Linked DNA regions of Macaca fascicularis. The protein of the gene in region 1 interacts with the protein of each later gene in a pairwise test. Links are inferred from orthologs where the notes say so. Each region holds a gene or a part of one and is shown on either strand. Other genes may lie near its edges.

The links.
Region 2: the proteins of SMYD1 (region 1) and HOMEZ interact in binary tests that used the Homo sapiens proteins (3 or more experiments, as listed by UniProt). The link is inferred for Macaca fascicularis from reciprocal best matches to the Homo sapiens genes SMYD1 and HOMEZ.
Region 3: the proteins of SMYD1 (region 1) and ZBTB44 interact in binary tests that used the Homo sapiens proteins (3 or more experiments, as listed by UniProt). The link is inferred for Macaca fascicularis from reciprocal best matches to the Homo sapiens genes SMYD1 and ZBTB44.

Annotation. Positions count from the first base shown.
Region 1 is NC_088387.1:22,909,365-22,917,475, forward strand, and holds part of SMYD1 (histone-lysine N-methyltransferase SMYD1), read right to left. Parts: intron 6,670-8,111; coding exon 6,631-6,669; intron 3,597-6,630; coding exon 3,407-3,596; intron 1-3,406. UniProt on the Homo sapiens protein: Methylates histone H3 at 'Lys-4' (H3K4me), seems able to perform both mono-, di-, and trimethylation. Acts as a transcriptional repressor. Essential for cardiomyocyte differentiation and cardiac morphogenesis.
Region 2 is NC_088381.1:91,041,169-91,049,038, reverse strand, and holds the end of HOMEZ (homeobox and leucine zipper protein Homez), read left to right. Parts: intron 1-1,264; coding exon 1,265-2,874; 3' UTR 2,875-4,393; downstream 4,394-7,870. Other genes in the region: E3 ubiquitin-protein ligase RNF212B, read right to left, coding at 5,550-5,630. UniProt on the Homo sapiens protein: May function as a transcriptional regulator.
Region 3 is NC_088388.1:128,681,535-128,689,645, forward strand, and holds part of ZBTB44 (zinc finger and BTB domain-containing protein 44), read right to left. Parts: intron 7,199-8,111; coding exon 7,035-7,198; intron 5,337-7,034; coding exon 5,036-5,336; intron 2,256-5,035; coding exon 1,977-2,255; coding exon of another isoform or gene 1,973-1,976; exon of another isoform or gene 1,965-1,972; intron 1,360-1,964; coding exon 1,329-1,359; coding exon of another isoform or gene 1,286-1,328; 3' UTR 1,285-1,285; exon of another isoform or gene 1-1,284. UniProt on the Homo sapiens protein: May be involved in transcriptional regulation.

The sequences.
Region 1 (8,111 bases):
GGTTGTCAATTAGTAAGTGCAACATGTGATAAATCTATTGTGAGAAAGGAAACGGAGTTGTTCCACTTGGCTCCACTCTTCACAATAAAGGCAAGAACATTCTGATTTGCACACAGGATTTAAGGAACCCCCGTGGTGAAAGGCTGCTGTCTCCAGGAGCATCAGATTCTACAGAAAACAAGGAGGAAGAGGGAGGGAGGACCCAGAGGCGGAGGAGAAGGAGCAAGGGTTGGGCGATCTGAGGGGCTGGGGGAGGAGCCAGAGGAGAAGGGAGGAGCCATAGGAAAGGGGAGGAGCCAGATGAACGGGGAGGAGCCAGAGGAAAGGGGAGGAGCCAGAGGAAAAGGAGCCAAGGAGGGAGAAGGGGTAAGAAGGATGTTGGTTCCCAAGCCTGGAGAAATTGGCACATTTCTATTTGATTTTTTTCATTTTATTTATTTATTTATATATTTATTTATTTATTTGAGACGGAGTCTTTCTCTGTCACCCAGGCTGGAATGCAGTGGTGCGATCGCAGCTTACTGCAACCTCCGCCTTCCGGGTTCAAGCCATTCTTCTGCCTCAGCCTCCCGAGTAGCTGGGATTACAGGCGTGGGCCACCATGCTCGGCTAATTTTTGTATTTTTAGTAGAGATGGGGTTTCACCATATTGTCCAGGCTGGTATCAGACTCCTGACCTTGTGATCTGCCTGCCTCGGCCTCCCAAAATTCTGGGATTGCAGGCGTGAGCCACCGTGCCCGGCCTGGCACATTCGTATTTGAAAATCATGAGTAAAGGCTGGAGAGAGACAGCGGAAAAACCCGCCAGGCACTGTGGCTCATGCCTGTAATCCCGGCACTTCAAGAGGCTGCGACGGGTGGATCACTTGAGGCCAAGAATTTGAGACCAGCCTGGGCAACATGGTGAAACCCCGTCTCTACAAATAATACAAAAATTAGTCTGCAGTGGTGGCACGCACCCATGGTCCCAGCTACTCAGGAGCCTAAGGCAGGAGAATCTCTGGAGCCCAGAAAATCGAGGCTGCGGTGAGCTGAGATCACACTACTGCACTCCAGCCTGGGTGACAGAGTGAAACCTCATCTCAAAAATAAATAAAAATAAAATAAATTTTAAAAAAGAATGATTACAAAAGAAAACCTAAGCAGCCTAAACAAAGATAGTCCAGAGACACAACTGAGTAAAAATGTCATAAATTTTGCTATTATTTTCCCATTTTAAAAATATTTGGTTTTTATTTCTACGTAGGTTTACATAAACATATATTGAGGAGCTAGGAAAGATTTTGATGGCATTTGAAGGTTTGAGGATGGTGTACTGATGGAGGCTTATCAGTCTGGGATACAGCGTTATAGAGAAAAGAAAGGAAATGACTGTGATGACATCATAGACAGTCCAGCTTGAGGAAATGGTTAATAAGTTAGTCCAACTCCCCATTTTACAGATGAGGAAACTGAGGCCCAGAAGGAAGAGACTTGGCCAAGCCCAGGTGTTTAGAGTCATAGCCAGTACTAGTACACAGGCCTCATAATTCTTCTTCCAGTATTCTTCCTACTACATTATTATGGACTTTTTTTAATGCCTGAGGAAGCATTTGCTTTTAAAAAGATATACTCAATTTTTTCCTGCTCAGTTAGTATAGGTATTTTTATTTTGAGTTGTTTTAATAGAGAAACTCAATTTGATATAAAATACAATAGAAAGTTTTTGCCTTGAATTCAGGTAGGTTCAAGCTGAAATCATCAATCTGTTATATCAAGAGAAATGCCAACTCTGCAATTCATACTGAAGACGTGTGTGTATTGTCACCAGCTGGTAACAGCATATCTAAAGTGAAGGGATGGGAACTAAAGGTCACACATAGCCTTCTGAACGATTGAAACTGCCAGGTAAACATCAAAAAGTCTAAAGAAATGACCACATGGTTGTTTTATTTTAGAACAGAGAAAAGAGGGTCTGGCCTCATAATAATAATAATAATAATAATAATAATAATTACGTAGTGTGGAAGCAAGTTATGAAACAAATACTCAGTGCCTGTCTCCAGGAAGGAAGGCTGGCTGGCTCACAGATAAGACATGCTTTCCGCAGGTTCTGAAAGGTCGGGGTGAGGGTGGGTGCAATAACAAATTCTTCTCTGTAGCGCCCATGATGTAGTGCTCAGTGCCTCTCACATACATCCAATATAAATCTCCTAGAATACAGACCTTTGCTTCTCTGAAAAGAGGTTGTTCCTATAGAAAACATTAATCCTTGGGCCCCAACTGCTTTGTCTCTGCCTGCGAAGGGTGACTCTCAATATCTTCACCCCAGGCATCACTGGTCCTCCTACTTCTGTATGGAGACCGAGTATGCTTGCATGGGCATGGGTGTGCATGTGTGTGTGTGCCTTTTAATGTTCATAAATGGTAGCATACACAGTGTTAGGGGTAAAATTGTATCCTCCCAAAATTCATATGTTGAAGTCTAGCCCCAGAAGCTACCTCAGAATGAGATCTTACTTGGCAATAGGGTCATTGCAGATGTAATTAGTTAAGGTGAGATCATACTGGAATAGAGTGGGCTCCTAACCCCATATGACTGGTGTCCTTATAAAAGAGAATGCCATGTGAGATGCCTCCATGACTGTGCTGATCCCCCTCATCCTCCCCCTGAGCACAGCTTCCCTGGAGGAAATGGACAAGAAGAGTCAGTGCTTTCTTCGGTTTTGGCTTCTTGCTTAACACTATTGCAGTAAGTGATTAAATACTTCACACTCATTTCTGCTCTGTTGCTTTAACTGGCTACTCTGACACCTGGCGCCTCAGCGCTCTCTCCCAGCTCAGCTGGGCTCTTGACCTCCCGTCAGCAAGCCTTCTTCTGCTGCTCAACAGACTGACCATCAACTAGCAACAGTTACCCAGGAGTTCAGGATGTTGACCAATCTAAACATAGCCCTGTCTCCACACTGCCCATCCCCATGGGACTAGGAATATCTTTTTCATAACCAGATGACAAATATCTTTGCCCATCTGATCTCAGCACCTTAAATTCTCAACATCCCTCAACTCATAAAGGAGCAACAGGAGGAACCAAAATTTCCAGTGTCTACTCCGTATGCCACTCCTTTTATACACATCATCTTCTTTAATCTTTATAACAACCTCTTGCAATGGGACCATCATTCCTATTTTACAGTTGAGAAAACTGGGTGACTTCCCCAAACTCAAACACCTGGCAAGTGGCAGTGCCAGGACTTAGCTGGGACCTACCCACGGTGCTCTGCTCTCATACCCTGCCTCCTCCCCAGGGTCACAGCTGCTCCCTAGGAAGCTCATGGGCAAGGCACACTGATTAGCTGTGAAACCAACTGTGACTGGCTCCTGGCGAATATGGACACAAATACCTCAGCAGCAGGGTTGCATGTACCTTGGGATTGTCTTTCACCCCCAGGAAGAGGTCGTCCTTCAGTTTTTTCTGGCAGTGTTCACATGTGCAGTCAAAGTAGTACTGCTTCTTCAACTGCCTCTTGCGTTCTTCACTGACGTTGAGGAAGTCGATGTAGGACACAGTCAGCTCCTCTCCTTCTGAGATCTTGCCCAGGGCCCGGAGCTCAATTCTGGAGCAGGGCGAAAGGAAAAGGTGACTCGAATCCAGGCCTACTGGAATGGGATCCATGCTCTCCTCCAAGGCTTTGTGGAGTTGGGTCTCAAAGACAATGACTTTCACTGGCAGTCAGAAACCCCCATTGACTCCACAAAAGGAGAAATGTGACCTAAAGGATGATTTTGTGGATAGTTCTACTCTATTCCTTAGAACAGTCCGATCCACTCCATTCAGTTAACTGCTCTGGAATCAGCTCAAATAGACTCCTAGTAGAGAGCTGGGCTTGGTCATAAAACCAGACAGAATGTCCATGCCCATAAGTCTCCCTTTACTTTTAGCTACTGATTGTCTGTAATAAAAGAAGGAGAAATAATAAGGCAGAAACTCCAAACAAGAAAAAACTTGAAAATCTTTTCTGGTTAGTTTGGGGACTACTCTCTCAGAAACATAAAAATTCAGTTACCCACAACCTTGGCTCATTCGGTGTCTAACTTGAAGTCACCTCTTGACCTTCAGTCCAATGGTTCAGGCCAAATTACCTAACGAGACTTAGCCCACTGGAGATCATTGAAGTCAAATAAACAAAGGCTGGCTCTGTTAGCTCACTGCATTGTTCACTTTTGTGTTTATTGGGGGATGTGGCTTGTTGGTTGAAGGTCGTTAGCAAGGGCAGATGGCATTTCAGTTCCCTTCCAGCCTAGACCTGACCCTCAATTACCTATAGCACAACCCACCTTACTTAATGAGATAGGTACTGAAGATGTTGAAGGTAAAAACCTGCTGCAGAACTGACATCCAGCTGAGCCAAACAGGTAGAGGTCAGCCTGTGGATCTCTCAGCCATGCATCCTCCACCACAAGGCCAGACAGCTACAGAAAACAAGTGGTGGGCCCTGCAAGCTGGGTCCTAAACCGTGCTCCTGTACCTCCCCAGAATCCTGGGGCCTCCCTGCCTAGTGGGAAGCCATCATCCAGAGAGCAAGTGGCAGGATGCAGAGGGCTGGGGAGAGTGCCTGCACAGAGATCCATGGTCATTTCTTTTACCTCCCAGGAAGGCTCAGTTAGACACCATGCAAAAGCAAGGGCAAGACTCCAGCACCCAAGAAGAGTCCCAGTCAAAGGCAGCCCCTTCCCTGTGCTCTGAGATGACAATCAAGGAAGCAACTGCTGAATGGTAGTGACGTTCATGTCCAGGCGTCTGAGGTGACCACTGATGGATACAAATCCTTCTCCCAAAGTGAGATACACTGACACACCTATTAATGTGTTAATGTGTATAAAAACAACTCCTGTGGAGTCTGCAAAACTGAAGTGCCTGCTCACCATTTGTCACTCCTTTCCTTTGTTCCTTACCCCAATTTTCGGCAGCAGCGGTTACTGTAGTGATGAAAGGCCAGTAGGAGAGGAAGGCCGGGTGATTCTGCTCACAGTTCTGCTTAGAATCCTAGTTTGTCTGAGCTGCAGGGATGCTCATTTCACAAATGAGGATAGTGACACAAGAGGGATAGGTCCCACAGCACTTTGGGGACAGAGCCAGGATTAGAACTTCATACCATTCACCCTCAACATAGTAGCCTTGCCTGGTTGTTTTCAGGCTGCTTCCTGGGTCTTCGATGCATGGGAATTAAGATGCATCAAAGTCTTTGATTTTTAGGACTCTACTAATGTCCTAAGTAATTCCATGTGAGCATCTCCTGAGCCAGGATCTCCAGTATTTAACCCTATTGGGTAAGTAACCAGTTCTGCCCCCACGAGTCCCTTTTACAGAGGCAGCCCACCATAGTGACATATTCTAATTCCACAGTGAATCAGTGGCCAATTGGGCTAGAATTTCCAGTAATTTTGCTTCCTATCATGATTGTGCCAATTCTTGCATGGTCTCAGGGTATCTCCGATTATTCCAATGGTATTAGAAATTTTTCAAAACCAAATTAACTTAATGTGACTTAAATATGAAAAGATGCATATATGTATGCCTCATTTTACCTTACTTGAAACTGGAGATTGGGGGAGAGGAATGGAGACCAGCCTGAAATAAGCACTGCAGGAGGCAGGAGATGAGGGTTTTAGCCCTGGCTCTCCCTCCAACCAGCTTCCTTGGACAAGCTTCATCCCCACCTTGTACCCCAGGCCCCTTCTACCTCCAACAATCTGCAATTCTATAGTTCAGCTAATTGAGCCACAAGTAAGCAGCCTATTTATGTATTTCTCACAGAGGTTAGGGACAGAGTCCAGAGCTACAGAGACTTAGAACTAGGAAGGTCCCTAGAGCACTCTCCTCTTGACCTTTCTCTACAGATGTGGAACCCAAGCCCAAGAGATGATGTGAATCATCCAAAGTCACGTGCAGTGCACAGCAACACAGACTCAAATGCACCAACCACTTCTACCCCAGCATTCCCAAAGCCCAAACTCCCACACAGCATTTTGTTCTTAATCCAAAGACCACTTCAAGGGCTGTCAACCCCACCCTGAGGAAAAGACCCATCTAGGGCCATTTGGTTGTCATCAAGAAAAGTCAGAAGTAAAATTTAACCTAAACTACTCATTCGTAGTTGGTCAGAAGCAGTAAGCAGAATACTGGGAATAAACATTTATTAAAAATATCGGTTATAGATGCTATTTTTTGGAGCCCAGTCTGGGTAAGAAGTTGGGGCTTATAAACAGACAGTCCTTTAGTAGGTCAGTCACAGTCCCCATTTCATGGTAAGCAGGGTTTAGGGAGACAAGATAGGCTTTTGCTAAGACGATGTGGACTACAAGGGTTCATGCTTCAAGGTTGGAAGAGCAGTGGAAGTGAGGCATGAAAGGGAGGAAGAAAGGAGGCAAAGTAAAGCAAAGACAAGGCAGGTGGTATGTGGGTAAGGAAAAAATGGTTAATTTAAATGCATTAAAATACACCATTCAGCAAAGACGAGACACTGGGATGCAGAAGGACATTATGGACAGATGGCAGTCAAGGAGTCTTGGGAATGGGTGGCTCCAGCAAACCAGGCAAGTGAGGGAGACGGGTCAGAGGAGCAGGGATGCTTGAAAGGACTGACCCACCTCATCTGGGTATGAAACATGGATTTCACTGCCTCATGACTGAAAGACAAAACAGACACCCATATGGAAATCATTATCATTGGCTGGTCAGGAGTCATCCAGTGCAAGGGTGCACAGCATTCTGAGTCACACTATCAAAGCTTTGGCCATCACAACCTTTATCCTAGCCCCTTCTAGCTGGACTCACTGGACAAGACACAGCCTGCTAGAGTGGAAAGTGCACTGAATTTGGAACAAGACATTCTGGATTCAAAGGTACTCAACCCTGACCTGAACAAGTTCCTTCCCTTCCCTGTGTTTCAGTGTTCTCACCTATAATGAGACTGTCATGAGACAATGCACTTAAAAGCAGAGTGCTGAAAAAACATGCGCAATGCTGTTATTATCATTCTATTAAGCATCCTGGATGAATAAACATTGCCTCTTTGGATGTCGGTCTTGGAAAGAGTTTGAAGTGCACATGGAGGCTGTTTAGGTCAAATCGATAGTATATAAAAATTGTTGGGGTTCAAACTGGGCCCCTAACCCCATGTCTAGGGTTCTTTCCACTATGGCAGGTGGCTAGACAGGAAATGCAAAGTCACCTTCTCTTGCACAAAAGCCAAGAAGCCTGGATAAAATGTGGCTGCTAGAAATTAGTAGATGCAAGGAAGCCAGAGCAGACACAGAAGAAAGAGTTCCTAGGTTCCTGTGGTTGTTATACCCAATGACAAGAGGAGCCTTGGGTCACTACCACTTAGAAGAGGGCCGTCTAGAAAGCCCAGGCCCATACATGGCTGAATTTGATCCTCTCTGCCATCCAGGTCAAGCTCAGTCAACAGCCCCTCTAGGGAGGATTCCATGAGATCCAGGCTAGTGACCCCAAAAGGCTTCAGAAAGGAAACACAAATGCTGAGAAAAGATTATCATCTGAGTCCAAAATAAACTTTCCCATCTTAAGTGACTTTCTCAATTGCTTAAGAGCCTGGTTTCAGAAATAGGAAGGAAAGGAGAAATCAGGGTACTTGGCATATTGAAGCTTAGGCCCGATTCTCAGCTGAGAACCAGACACCATTGTCTGGCTTCTAGGAAGTTTTTGGGGGAAACTTGCTCATTGTTGATGACTCAAAGTCAGCTTGTATCTGTCATAAGAGCTCATCTCTAAGAGCAAAAGCAATTAATATTGCTCAAGCCTCATTCCCCTATATCTCCCCATCCCGAGCCATGGACAACCAGGGGCTCGTTCCATCTACTGATTCTTCTCCATTTGTGCCGCACCCCCAAATCCATAATGTGCCCTTATTTACCCCTCATCTTCAGGTTGGGGTTTGGCCAATGGTAGGAGAGCAGAGGGTTAGGGGAATGAGGGGTTGGACTATCTAGTCCATTGACTTCCTCTTTTCCGAGCCATGGTGCCAGCTGGCTGGTTTCTCTAGACACAGTTGTAAGCCACAGCTGAGCTGTTGGGGGGCCCTCTAGCCCATGTCCAGCTCTCACTAGCT
Region 2 (7,870 bases), on another chromosome or scaffold:
AAAACAAAACCCCACCAGCTGGCTGTGGTGACTCATACCTGTAATCCTAGCACTTTGGGAGGCCAGAGGCAGGTGGATCACGAGGTCAGGAGTTCAAGACCAGCCTGGCCAAGATGGTGAAACCCCATCTCTACTAAAAATACAAAAAGTAGCCAGGCGTGGTGGTGGGCACCTGTAATCCCAGCTACTCGGAAGGCTGAGGCAGAGAATTGCTTGAACCCGGGAGTGGAGGTTGCAGTGAGCCAAGATCGTGCCACTGCACTCCAGCCTGGCAACAGAGCGAGACTCAGTCTCAAACACACACACACACACACACACACACAAACACACTAAAAAAAAACTGTATCAGGATCAGTTTTCCTTCTTAACCTCTAAAGACAGATTTTTTTTTTTTTTTTTTTTTTTTTTTTTGAGACGGAGTCTTACCCTGTGACCCAGGCTGGAGTGCAATGGCACTGATCTCGGCTTACTGCAACCTCCGCCTCCTGGATTCAGATGATTCTCCTGCCTCAGCCTCCTGAGTAGCTGGGATTACAGGCACTCACCGCCATGCCCAGCTAATTTTTGTATTTTTAGTAGAGACGGGGTTTCACCATGTTGGGCAGGATGGTCTCGATCTCCTGACCTTGTGATCCTCCCGCCTTGGCCTCCCAAAGTGCTGGGATTACAGGCATAAGCCACCGTACCCGGCCTTTTTTTGTTTGTTTTAGATAGGGTCTCACTCTATCACCCAGGCTGGAGTGCAGTGGTGCAAGCATAGCTCACTGCAGCCTCGACCTCCCAGGCTCAAGCAGTCCTCCTGCCTCAGCCTCCCAAGTTGTTGGGACTACAGGCACGAACCACCATGCCCAGCTGATTTTTAAATTTTTTGTAGTCTCACCATGTTGCCCAAGCTGGTATCAAACCCCTGGGCTCAAGCAATCCCTCTCACCTAGGCCTCCTGAAGTGCTGGGATTACAGGTATGAGCCACCATGACTGGCTTTAAAGACAGATTTTTTTCTTGGAACAACACTCACCAGTCATGTGACTTGGGGTAATTTAACATCTATGGACTTTAGTCCACAGAAAATCAGAATTAAAGCAGGGTCTGATGACTTGTTTATGAAAATTAAATAAGAAACTGTTGAAGCACTTAAAAAGCAATACAACATGATGCAAATAGAAACTTAATTGTTTTGGTGTCCAGCAGTTAGTTTGGTAGAAATTGAGCAATGTGTCAGAAGAGGAGACCCAGTGATTGAGCTGTTTCTTTTCTTATTACAGCTATCTCTGAAGGGCACAAATCAGAAAGCACCATGCCTCCTAATAAAGAGGCCAGCGGTCTCAGTAGTTCACCAGCGGGGCTCATCTGCCTCCCTCCAATCTCTGAGGAGCTACAGCTTGTGTGGACCCAAGCAGCCCAGACCAGTGAGCTAGACAGCAATGAACACCTGCTAAAAACCTTCAGCTACTTTCCCTATCCCAGCCTAGCAGACATTGCCCTTCTCTGCCTACGTTATGGGTTGCAGATGGAGAAAGTCAAGACTTGGTTTATGGCCCAGCGCCTCCGCTGTGGTATTAGCTGGTCATCTGAAGAAATAGAAGAAACTCGAGCCCGAGTAGTCTACCGTCGGGACCAACTCCATTTCAAATCCCTTCTCTCTTTTACTCATCATGCAGGACGGCCCCCAGAGGAGGTGCCTCCTCCTCCAATGCCAGCTCCAGAACAAGTTGGTATTGGAATAGGTCCTCCGTCTCTTAGCAAGCCCACCCAGACGAAAGGATTGAAGGTAGAGCCTGAGGAGTCCTCTCAGATGCCACCACTGCCACAGAGTCACCAGAAATTAAAGGAGTCCCTGATGACACCTGGCAGTGGAGCATTCCCCCACCAATCAGATTTTTGGCAACATCGTCAAAGCAGTGGCTTCTCAAAGGAGCAGGCAGGCAGGGGTCCCAACCAATCACATGGCATAGGAACTGCTTCCTGGAACCACTCCACAACTGTCCCCCCACCACAAGCTCGGGATAAACCCCCACCAATTGCATTAATTGCCAGTAGTTGTAAGGAGGAGTCAGCATCTAGTGTTACTCCCTCTTCTTCCTCTACCTCCTCTTCTTCTTTCCAGGTACTGGCTAATGGAGCTACTGCCACCTCTAAACCCCTCCAGCCATTAGGCTGTATCCCACAGTCAGTGTCACCCAGTGAACAGGCATTACCCCCACATCTGGAACCAGCCTGGCCCCAAGGGCTACGGCATAATTCAGTACCAGGTAGGGTTGGCCCCACAGAGTACCTTTCCCCAGATATGCAACGCCAGCGAAAGACCAAGCGCAAAACCAAAGAGCAGCTGGCTATCCTCAAATCCTTTTTTCTACAGTGCCAATGGGCACGGCGTGAGGATTACCAAAAGTTAGAACAGATCACTGGTTTACCTCGGCCTGAGATCATTCAGTGGTTTGGTGACACACGTTATGCCTTGAAGCATGGGCAACTAAAATGGTTTCGGGACAACGCAGTACCTGGTGCCCCTAGTTTCCAAGACCTAGCAATTCCTACACCACCACCATCAACCCGCTCCTTGAATGAAAGGGCTGAGACATCACCTCTGCCGATCCCTCCACCCCCACCGGATATACAACCCTTGGAGAGGTACTGGGCAGCCCACCAACAGCTACGGGAAACTGATATCCCTCAATTGAGTCAGGCATCAAGGCTTAGCACCCAGCAGGTACTGGATTGGTTTGACTCTCGATTACCTCAGCCAGCTGAGGTGGTAGTTTGTCTAGATGAAGAAGAGGAAGAGGAGGAGGAAGAACTGCTAGAAGGTGATGAGGAAGAAGAGGAGGAGGAGGAAGATGATGATGATGATGATGATGTGATCATACAAGACTGAGTGGGGAGCTGGGGGAGGGGAGGTCTGTTATGAAAAGATGAAACAACTTAGTAACTGTTTAAACAAAGAAACCACATTTTTAAAATTACCTTGTGGCAGAGAACTAAAAAGCTTTGTGTTCTTCAGGGTGGGTGGCAGGGGAATATAGTGAGGGTGGACCAGGGAGAATGACCATAGGGCACTAAGTAAGGCTGGGATTGGATGAGCAGAAATCCAGAGCTCTAACCTTAGTGTAGAGAGTGCTAAGGATCTGGGGAAACCATGGGCTGGCAAACTGCTCTTGCTCACCTCGTGTCTGCTGTTCTTTTCCCTTAGTGTACTATAGAGAGGCCAGACATTGGCTCCACCACTCCAGGAGGATTGGAAAGGAGGAGTAAAGGATTCTGATTTGATTGATGATTCCAGTGCATCCCCAATCCCACCATCTTACCTGGAATATAAGGCTGCCTTGCACCCCGTTTCTGAGCACAAGTCTGTGCATGATGCAACTGACTCTTACTTTTTTTCTTAATAACTGATCATTTCCTAGACAACCAAGATTCTCAGTAAGTCCCAATCTCATCACAAATATTAATATTTCCTTTTCCTCATACCAACTTGACTGTTTCACCTGTTTCATGACTAAATCACAGGTGGCAGAATATTTTTGGGTTTTTTTTTTTTTTTTTTTTTTTTTTGAGATGGAGTCTTGCTCTGTCACCCAGGCTGGAGTGCAGTGACGCAATCTCAGCTTACTGCAAGCTCTGCCTCCCGGGTTCATGCCATTCTCCTGCCTCAGCCTCCCAAGTAGCTGGCGGCCACCACCATGCCCGGCTAATTTTTTTACATTTTTAGTAGAGATGGGGTTTCACCGTGTTAGCCAGGATGGTCTTGATCTCCTGACCTCGTGATCTGCCCGCCTCAGTCTCCCAAAGTGCTGGGATTACAGGCGTGAGCCACTGTACCCCGCTATTTTCAGTTCTTATGCTGGGACCACTTTGCTTTGTAGTTTTTTCTGTCTTTCCAAAATCCTCACTCTGTTCACTGTTTGTCTCAGGGTAAATCTTCCCCCACCGAGCTTGTGAAAAACTTTAATAATTGGGTAGAGAATAATTTAGAATGGATATTTATTGGAGGTGGTAATTAGGGAAGATGTCGTTTTAAAAAGTAGAACTGTGTTACAAAGGGGTGAAAGAGGGAATAGTTTCCCCTTGTTGAAGGACAGTGGAGGTAGGTTCCAGGTTTGGTTTTACAAACCTGATAACTACCTCCTGTCCAACTTGACAGAGACTAAATTTTCATCTTTTTGCTGTCAATTTGTTTCTGAAAAAGAGACTTTTTCCCTCTCTTTATAGGATCTGTCTTAGGGACAGAGGGACCATCGTCTTTAAGTGAATTAATTATTGATGTTTTAGAATGGTTTTCATCAGTTGGGATCAGCTATATGGCAAATAGGTATCATCAATGAGTTAACCATCTAAAAATAAAAGAGTGGAAGCCCTAGAATGCTAGAACAATAATAAAAAGGCCAAAAATAAAATTGTTTCTCTCTCATCCACTTTGCCACTCCTATGGTTTAGGGATTAATGGAACCAAATCCATTAACATTCTAACTCAGCATACTTTTAATTTATTGTTTTGAAGGGCAGGACTTATTGAGGTAAATTAAAAGAAGAATAAAAACTTTAAAAGGAAGTAGTTCAGCATCTGTCACCAGCCAGGTTGTTTCTCAGCCATCAAATGATAATGACTGAAATTTCTGAGGCTTCAGGAGTAACAGAGATACAACAATCTTGGAGGTAACTCCATTTGCTACAGGACAGGCTCTTGCCTAAAAGAGAAGGTGTCTAGAAATGCCTTTAAAATAAATTCAGAGTACCAGAAAGGGTATAGGGCTCCTAATTCAGATACAAGGTCATTCCCAAGAGCTAATTTATTTCTGGCAGATGCCTGCTATTTTCTGTTTTCCCAGTATTTTTGCTTAAGGCCAACTTGTGAGTGGCTAACCTATTTAATTCCTCATTTCTGCCTTTTAGTACCCAAAGTAGAATACATGTTTGATCTCAGTGGTAGTGTTGTTTGCCCATTCCACCATTCTAGAACTTGTAATAGTGATAGAATTGTAGCAATAAAAGGGTGTCGTCTTAATTTTACTATCTATATACTAAACTGAAAATCAGTGTCTCCAACAGTTGTTTTCAATAGAAAGGAAAATTAGCATTTAATAGTAACTAAGCATAGAGGAAACAATAGGCAAATAGAAAATGTATAATAAGGACAAAGAACAGAGATGTTACTTGTTAACATTGGCAATGTGACAGTATATCCATAGCTAAAAATGAAATCCAGAAATGAAACAGTGATGAGTATATGATCCATCACAATCCCCATTCCCAACTCCCAACCAAGCATGATGCCAATAATTATTTTTATGACCTTTGTTTCAAATTGTAGGAAATGAGGGGAGCTACCAAGGTCTTCTGGAAGAGCTATAAACATCTTCCTGAAGCACTAGCCTTTTGTAAGACCTGACCACTGTCCTGGGAGGTGATAAGGGTGAATAGGGTAAAGATGGAGGGAGCATAAGGTATAGAGTGAAACTAGGAAACAATGTAGGGATAAATTTTCCAGGGCCATCACCCCTAATGGGTACTGGAGGCTACAGTCCATCCTTCAGCAGTATGTATAGATCAGACCTTGAAGATGATCTATCTGGAAGTGGTCCATGCTTCTCTCCCACTGGGTAATCCCATCTGCCTCTGTTGTTGGTAGAGAGTCTGCAGCAGAGGACAAAAAGGTAGATGTGGGTGTTTATAACAACAAAAAGGGCAAGAAAGTCTCTCTGAACTCATTGTATGAAGCTTATCGAGACAGACACCACTGCTTTTGCTTCCCCATAGTTTTCTTCATTGCATGATAACTAGTTTTTCCAAACTAGGATTTACTACATCTAATGTGACAGTCTCTGGAACATTTCAGTGGCTATGGTGATAATAATAAGGATGAATATTTGAAAATTATTTTGGAAAATCTGGGACATATGACTACCACACCCAGAGATGACTACCAGGGAGGCAGAGTACTTAGGCCTCTGAGGAGGTGGCATTTCCTTCAATAACTTTAAAATTTTTTCACATTTTCAAACAATACATAGAATAGTATAATGAACTCATGTGCCCATTGTCCATCTTTAACAAATAATTCGTGGCCAATCTTTTATTTCTACTCTCCCACTGTCCCTCCCTACTAAATTAGGGATGCAAACCCCAGACATCATTTGACTTTTCATCCATAAATAGTATGTATCTATAAAAGTGAATGGCTATTTTTAAAAACATAACTACAATATCATCATACCAAAAACTCTCCAATATTAACAATTATTTAATATCAAATGTCCAATAGATAATTTTGTTAAACTGTCTCATGAATTGTTTTTTTTATTTTTTATTTTTTTTTCTACAGCTTGTTTCAGTCAAGATCCAGTTAGGGGCCAAATATTTGTAGATGGTTTATTGAGCTTTTAAGTATTTTTTCCTCTGTAGGTTAATCCCTCCATTTGTGAGTATCTTAGGGAGGACTGTTATTTCCCCAGTGTTGCCTCTTAAGGCTTAGACCCTAATTTCTTTTTTTTTTTTTTTTTTTGAGACGGAGTCTTGCTCTGTAGCCCGGGCTGGAGTGCAGTGGCCGGATCTCAGCTCACTGCAAGCTCCGCCTCCCGGGTTTGCGCCATTCTCCTGCCTCAGCCTCCTGAGTAGCTGGGACTACAGGCGCCCGCCACCTCGCCCGGCTAGTTTTTTGTATTTTTAGTAGAGACGGGGTTTCACCGTGTTAGCCAGGATGGTCTCGATCTCCTGACCTCGTGATCCGCCCGTCTCGGCCTCCCAAAGTGCTGGGATTACAGGCTTGAGCCACCGCGCCCGGCCTAGACCCTAATTTCTTACTGATGAAAATAAAAGGGCATCTTGGAATATGGGAGCAAAATATATACCTACCTTAGTATGAAGGAACTGTCCCTGGGGACACCAGGAGCTTGGAGTGAAAAAAGGGCCTAAATATGCTCAAAATCCAAGCCATTAAAAAAAAAAAAAAAAAAAGGCAAGACTGGACTTTTATTTTTTTATTTTTATTTATTTATTTATTTTTGAGATGGAGTCTCGCTCTGTTTACCCAGGCACTGGAGTGCAGTGGCATGATCTCAGCTCACTGCAACCTCCGCCCCCCAGGTTCAAGCAGTTCTCCTGTCTCAGCCTCTCTTGTAGCTGAGATTACAGGTGCCTGCCACCGCACCCAGCTAATTTTTGTATTTTCAGTAGAGATGGGGTTTTACCATATTGGTCAGGCTGGTCTCTAACTCCTGACCTCAGGTTATCCACCCGCCTCGGCCTCCCAAAGTGCTGAGATTACTGGCGTGAGCCACCGCCCCCGGTGACTTTTCATTTAACAGAACTCTTTACAAACCTTTCCTTGTTACCATGCCCTTTTCTTTTTGTTACTGGAATCGGAATCATAGTCCCATAAATTTATAAAATATTACTCTAGCTGTCTCTGGAGAAGTAAATGTGGTTTTTCCTAGTTCAAGTAGTACCTCTACCCAAAAGATATATGTCATAGAAAATACTTGATTGTGGAACTACTGAAAATGTCAGTGTGTCCACACTTATTTCACCCTGGCCAAGACCTCTCAGTTTAAAGCCTCTCACTAGCATGTGACTTCATTTTAAAACCCCAAACCAGGAAGCTAATCCAACAGTAGGATAAAATCTAGAATTGAAACCATTCTGGAAGGTTGTGAACATACAGTTACCAGAGTTGAAACTCATATCATTTTTCACTGGTTATATTCCACTACCCTGAGGCATTTAGTGTGCAGGCCTAACCATGTGAGATTTTATGCACAGACAAGTTAGACTAGCCAGGTCTCACCTGCAGGACTGGAAGCTGGAAACTAGGAAGACTCTCTAGTGTGGTTCTGCTCTCCCTCTGAGCTGAAGGATAGAATGGAACAGTGAAAGAT
Region 3 (8,111 bases), on another chromosome or scaffold:
TAAAGAACTGAAAACAAGTTAAGGACTGCAGAATATAGGCAGAGACAGAGAATCCTAACCTAAAACAGTTCTAAGGAATTTAATTTACTTTTCCTTTCTTCACATGTTTTTGGGGAAAAAATTACAGAATTAGCCAATCTAAAAAATTGAAACAAATCACTATAATTAAAAATATATACATTTAGTATGGTCTAGCACCTGAACAAAATTCAGATCTTGTGTTTTGACTAAAGAACTGTATTTTCTGTCTCTTTTCTAATCAAATCAGGTGCTCTCATAATTATTAAACTTTGGGTATCTACACAGAAACTCATTCCAAAGTTCACTGTTCATGGACTTACAGATATTTAGGATCAGTATTAGAGACGCTTTAATGGCACCAGATGAAAAGTATACCCGTCTAGAGGATCATATAAATTTCAACTCCAGACCAGAAAAGCTTCACACTTTCAGCAGCAGAAATGGTAATATTCATTAGTTTAAGGTTTTCAGTTTCTCATTAGTCTTAACAATTTTCTTTTTTCTCCCAGATTTATGAGTCATAGATGAAAATCTTACAGTCTATATTCATCTTTTACATTGTTGTCTACATTGTGTAAAAACGATAGTAACTGTTTTTTAATAACTTTGCAATGTCTAAAAATATGTAGGGACAACGTATCGCTGTCGTATGGGATTCAGTAAACCATCTAGTTGGGTTAAGAATGTAGCCTTGGCTGGTGCAGTGATCCCGGCAGTTTGGGAGGCCAGAGGAGGAGAATCACTTGGCCGAGGAGTTCAAGACCAGCCTGGGCACCATAGTGAAACCTCATCTCCACAAAAAATAAAAACGAAGTCAGCCAGGTGTGGTGGAGCATGCCTATGATCCTAGATACTCAAGAAGCTGAGACAGAATGGCCTGAGCCCAGGAGTTCGAAGCTGCAGTGAGCTATGACTTAGCCACTATACTGCGGCCTGGGCAACAGATGCCATCCTCTTAAATAAAAAAAAATAAAAAAAAAAAGATGTAGCCTCAACCGAGAATTCTTCATTATGTCCAAAAGAGCACAATGAAAACATCCCCAACAATACATAAACCTATACATAAAATATAGAATATCTCCAATATTTTTACTTTATATGGCAGCACGCCAATATATGCAAGAGACCATACTGACCGGGCAAGGGGAAAACTGATTCGGGCAATGACATGGTCAGGCATTAACATTCAGAGACCAGGTAAACAGCAATTTTAATCAGAAAAGCAATATAAGAAGAATTCCTACGAAGCTGAGATTTACATACTTCATTCTCCGTTCCTGGTCATTTCATCCACAGCTTGACTGTTGTCAATCATGGTTCTTTGCCTTTGGAGTGGTACTATAAAGGTACAGAGAATGCCCATCTCAGTACCAAACTTTCACCATGAAAAATCACAACAGAAATGACAAAGCTTAAAATAAAAAAAGTGTGCCGGATTTCAGAAGTATTTACCCTAATAATTTTTAAGAAAGCTTACCATAAATACTTCCAAAAACAACGGGCTTTACAAAATATTATACAATGTCCTGTGTACAGCCGTTAAGTATCTACTCAGGCCATTTGACAAGCTGTTTAGTAATTAGTTTCTCATGTACCCTCTCAACTCAGGAAGGTCAATAATCATCAGATTTCCTCTCTAGCTAATGGTCTGTTGTTAGCCTACTTTTAACAATGGAAGAAGAAACTGGTATAAGTTTTAAGTCAACCAGATCTCCTTAAGTCTCATAGTTTCTGTTTCAACATCATGTTATTGTGTACTTACAGAAGCAATCTCTCAGTTATGAAAAATAAAATCAGTTTCAGGGCTCAGCAAGTGAAAAGGGAAATGCTTTCCCAATCTCTCCCTCCCTCCCACCCGGCTTTTTTTGTTTAAAAAATTAAATTAAATTTAAATGTACAAGACCAAGCACAGGCACTTTCCAAAAAACAAAACTGAAGCCAAATCACAAAATTACTCAATAGTTATAGAAGACAGCTCTGATTTTGGGGGGTCATCTCTGGTTGCCTCAGCACAAGCACTGGTCTTTGGCTGCTCTGGCACTTCTTCCTCTTTTTCTGCCAGCCCACCAAGAGACCCCAAGGGAAAAGTGCTTTCACAATTCTGGGTTGAGGAGACCTGTGAAATTACAGGCATTTGAACAGAGGAGTTGCTTTCAAAACCGTGTTCTCCAAGATCATATTGAACAAGGGTCTCTTCTTGTTCCTGGTTTAAGTAGTCCGGTACTAGGAAATCACTAGATAAGAGGCAAAGGACGAAATATGGAATTAATTTTCAAGCCAGTAATAGATAAGCAACAATAAAAAGCTCTGATTTATACAACAAAATTGGGACTTTTCATTTCACTAATTGTTCGGTGAAGATTAAAACTCAGGAACTTTCCACTTACAAACTTTGCTAAACATGAACCAAAACATCCATTAAAACCAAAATGTATCAATCTTCCCTACCACCAATACATCAGGTTATCACTTTCATTATAACTTTGGACACCTTAACAGCCTTTCTTGTTCTATGCAGAGGAGTTTCTATATACAAAACAAATGTAGCATGCTCACTTAAACAAAGATCATCTGAGTAATGCTTAACTTTTCTTGATTATACATTGAGTAAGAGATATATAAACCTAGCTTTGTGTTACTAAACTTGACATGGCTTAGTTAAGAAACTAAGTCCTTATGCATAAATGATCTGATACAAAATCTACTATAAAGTTGGGAAATGTACAAAGTAATTTATGTGTATCCTGCTATTACATTTGGTATATGAAAATACTAATAAATTATCTTTGAATCAGAATGTGGAAATGAATGCCTTGAGATTGGTTGTTAATCTTCAAAAAGTAATTATTGGTCCCCACAGGAAACACGGACTGTAAAATATACTAAAACAGTGGCTAATTTCCTTAAGTGTTGAGATCAGAAAACATTTTAAATTTCTTTATACTTTTCTGTATTTCCTAAATTTTCAACTTATAAGCATTTTTTGGTAATTGAAACTAAGTATGTGAAATAAGTCTTATCTTAGAGGCTTTATTTAGATCTTTATTACTGAACTAAAAATTTCATTATACCAGAATTGTCAATAATATATGTAATTAGACTTGATAAAGTTATAATTTTACTGTTCAGTATTAATAAAAAATTAAAATCTGCTCATCTGCAAAGCAATTTAGAATGCCCTATGTTGTGTTTTCTAAAAAGTCTTCAGGTGTTAGAGAAGAAGAGTGGAGAATGCAGGGCTCTGCACAGGGAAGATAAAGATAACATGAGTAGTTAACAGGAACACTATTTTAGTCCTGAACAAACTGTGTTTAATATGATATGTATAATCTAAGGTTTAGTGATATGGCAACCACACATTCGGAATTAGAGATGACTGCATTAAACAAAATGAATGTCTGGTTGAGGGGAAAAATAAAATCTATGCAGGAATAATTTGGAATTTGTTTAAAAATAAGGTTTTAAGTCAGGCATGGTGGCCCACACTTGTAGTCCCAGCAGGAAAATTGCTTGACCCCAGGGGTTTGAGACTGTAGTGCGCTATGATTGTGTCTATGAATAGCCACTGCACTTCAGCCTGGGCAACACTGCAAGACCCCATCTATTCAATTAAAAAATAAAAAGGTTTTAAAAATAAAGGTGACTTAAAATGTAAAGATTTGGGCTGGGCATGGTGGCTCACGCCTGTAATCCCACAGCACTTTGGGAGGCCAAGGCAGGCAGATCACTTCAGGTCAGGGGTTCAAGATCAGACTGGCCAACATGATGAAACCCCATCTCTACTAAAACTACAAATATTAGCTGAGTGTAATGGTGGGCACCTGTAATCCCACCTACTCAGGAGGCTGAGGTTGCAGTAAGTCAAAATTGTGCCACTGCATTCCAGCCTGGGTGACAGAGTAAGACTCTGTCTCCAAAAAAAAAAAAAAAAAAAAAAAAAAATTTGTAAAAATTTCATTTAATTAGAAACTAAGGATTCCTGCAGAAGTACAATTCTTATAAACAATTTAAAACAACAGTTTTATATCTAGAGGAGGCCTTAGAAACCATCATTTAAAGCTTACATTTTATCTTTCTCTAAGTTACAAGCTTTTTCATCTGTAAAGTGACACGTTTAATCAACAGCAGTTAGTGGCAGAGCTAGAACTAGAACCTATTTCCTTGGATGCCCTACAAATCAGAAAGGTAATTCTATTATATATTAATATTAAAATAATAGAGCTCTAAACTGAATGAAAATAGGAATGACTTCATGATCTAAACCATCACACCCATTATAGCTGCTACTGAAAATTTTTCTTACTGGCCAATGGATATTCCTTTATATAAAATTTTTTTAAATAGAGAGAAGTGGTCAAGAATTTTATTAACATCCAGAGTCTGAAGTAATCCACTACCACTAAGTATCATCTGACATGGTAAAATTTCCAATAAGGCCAGGCGCAGTGGCTCACGCCTGTAATCCCAGCACTCTGGGAGGTCAAGGCAGGCGAATCACAAGGTCAGGAGATCGAGACTATCCCGGCTAACACGGTGAAACCCCGTCTCCACTAAAAATACAAAAAATTAGCCAGGCATGGTGGCGGGCGCCTGTAGTCCCAGCTACTTGGGAGGCTGAGGCAGCAGAATGGCATGAACCTGGGAGGCGGAGCTTGCAGTGAGCTGAGATCGCGCCACTGCACTCCAGCCTGGGAGACAGGGCGAAACCCCACCTCAAAAAAAAAAAAAAATTTCCGATAAGATCTATTTAAGGTCCATACGGAATTACTTAAACCTTCTATTATTTAAAAAATATCTCAAGAGGACAAGTAGTCCACTTGTGCAGGAAGATATTTTTAATACCAACTATAAAATGTTTATAATTTTATATGCTTAGAAGACTCAGCAAAATTTTATCAGATCAGGGACTGACTAGCTGGCAACCTAATGTAAAAACACAGAAGGCTGCCCTAAAAGCAGGAAAAGAGAGTTTAGAAAGCAGTTTTCCTGGTTGGGTTTTTGTTGTGCACCTCACCTGCTCTGGAAGTAGTTTGCTAGCTCTGATGCTTCATGGTTCAGACTCCTCAGGTGCACGATTAAATTTCCAGAGTTGGTGAACATGGCGCCACATGTTTTGCACTCGTAAATCCGAGGCTTGCGGATAATGTGCCGGGAAACCCTCATGTGGTGTTTATATTCCCCGAAGGAAGTGAAAGTGGCACTACATATCTGGCACCGGAAACAGCGTTTACCTTCATGCTTTAGGCGATGCATCTTTAGCGAGTAAGCCCTGGTGAACTTTTTCCCACAGCGGTCACACTGAAATGGTTTAATTCCTATAAATAAAGCAAAACAAAATATCTAAAAACAAAAATAAACTGAAAAGTCATAAACCCTACAAATTTCTGAACTATATTTCTGTAGCAATAGATCATCTGAAAAGACAAAAATTACCAGTAAAAACATACTCTAATTCAGTATCTCAGAACATGTGCAGAATATGTGAAAAGTCATGGCCGGGCGCCGTGGCTCAAGCCTGTAATCCCGGCACTTTGAGAGGCCGAGACGGGCGGATCATGAGGTCAGGAGATCCAGACCATCCTGGCTAACACGGTGAAATCTCGTCTCTACTAAAAAAAAATACAAAAAACTAGCTGGGCGAGGTGGCGGGTGCCTGTAGTCCCAGCTACTCGGGAGGCTGAGGCAGGAGAATGGCGTGAACCCGGGAGGCGGAGCTTGCAGTGAGCTGAGATCCAGCCACTGCACTCCAGCCTGGGCGACAGAGCCAGACTCCGTCTAAAAAAAAAAAAAAAAAAAAAAAAAAAAAAAAAAAAAAAAAAAAAAAAAAGAATATGTGAAAAGTCACAAGTGCTTAAAAAGGAAAAGAAAAAGGCAGTAGGGGAGGCAAACTAGGTAATGTCTACTGAAGTTGATTTTTGAATACTTTTCTAAATCATCTATTTTACTAACTTCAAAACACAATTTAACTACAGTATGTAGATAGAACCCAAATCCCCATGTAACACCATGTATTATTTCATTTCATTAGAAAGGCTTATATTGAAAAGATGTGAAAATCATCAGTACCTACTCTCTGTTCCCTATCTCACAGAGAAATGAGAAGAAGAAAGAACAATTTTAACATCTCTGAATGCAATGAGCATGACAGAACCATCATTTGATAAAATGGGGTTTTTGGGTAATACTGATAGAAATAAATGAGTTATAAAGTGTACTAATAGTCTCCTCAAATGCATTATCACAGTGTTTTGGGGAAAAAATTTTAAAACCTTTCAAAACACAATCTGCTGACTGAACAAAGTCACAGAGAGCTGGTGCTAGGACAGGGACTGTAAGACCTATCTACAGAAGGGGAAAGTGAGCTAGTAACTCTCGCAGCTGAAACAGCAGCAGAGATCTCTTACTCATCAGAGGTCAGTGTTTTACCCACAAGAATCCTGTTGCCTTCATGTGATTACTGAACTAAAGTTTCAAATCCCTTCTATACATTTATCCAAAATATCTCTTATGTTTTAAAAAAGTACAAACTACAAAGCTGACTCATCAGGGCACACAGAGATTTAGGACTGTAAAACTGAAAGTAAATTGCAAGAAAATATTACATTTTTAAACACACTTTTATTTGGGAATAATTTCAAACTTACAGAGATGTTATAAGAAGAACAGCACAAAGAACACCCATACAGACCCTTTTAACCCTATTTGCTTTACCATCTGTGGTTGTGCTTATCTATCTCACCTCTATGTGCACACCTAATATGTCTTTTATTTACAAAGTACTAAATCCATATCACCTTATGTTCTTTTAATCAGAATACTTAACACTGATGGCAAACAGCTTTCTGACACTGCACCATTTTGGCAATAAACCTTAGCTAATCTGTTTTCATTTGACTTCTCAGAGTTTTTTTTTAAACTCAGAAACCCCTGTTTTCTATTTTAACTGGGATTCCAAAATAAAATGTTTATTTTTAGAGTGTTCACTTATGCAACAACAGGGAAGGTGACATTACCTGAGTGGATGAGCATGTGCTGCTTTAGGTTCTGAATACGGGTGAAACGCACCCCGCAGGTTGGACACTGAAAAGGTCTGTCGGGACCATTTGGACTTGGTCGTTCTGTACTGCTGGTAGAAGGAGCAATGTAGAGTTGGTAGGGATACTGAACATTTTCCAATCTAAAAAAAACAGACCAAAGAAGGCAACCAGGCTCTGATTTTTAAACTGAATAAACACTGCTACAGGTCAATTTTAAATGAAAAAAGATAAAACACTTAAAGACTTTTTCAAACAGTTTAACTGTTAGATTTCAAGTTTCACTAACAATATGAAAAACAATGTTACTGTCCAGAATGCCTTTTGTCTTTTTTTTGAGATGGAGTCTCGCTCTGCCACCCAGGCTGGATTGGAGTACAGTGGCGTGATCTCGGCTCACTGAAACCTCCGCCTCCCAGGTTCAAGTGATTCTCCAGCCTCAGTTTCCCAAGTAGCTGGGATGACAGGCACCTGCCACCACGCCCGACTAATTTTTGTATTTTAGTAGAGATGGGGTCTCACCATATTGACCAGGCTGGTCTCGAACTCCTGACCTCAGGTGATCTGCCTGCCTTGGCCTCCCAAAGTGCTGGGATCACGGGCATGAGCCACCGCACCCAGCCCAGAATGACATACAACCACAGAACATATCATCAACTATTTTACCTTTGATGTCCTTAATCTCGCCAATTCTTTCCTTCTAACCACTTCTTAAATTTAGGCCTTCATTAATACAAGCCTGAGTTAATAACTCTCTCCATTTAGCTCCACACTCCTCTAATCCATCCCTCTCACTGTATCATAGCGATCTGATCAAATCAGTCCCCTGTCTAAAATTCTGCAATGGCTGTTATCTTCAGAATAAAATCAAACCCCTTTGCAAGGCATACACGATTCCTCATGATCTGAGCTCTCTGTACCTTTCTAGCCTCATTTGTTGTCATACTCCCCAAACACATCCTATACCAAATGCCTACTCATTTTACGAAATGTAGCTAGGAAGCCACATGCTCCTCAGGGAAGCCGTCTTTGATTTTTCAGTGGTTGCGGTAGGCA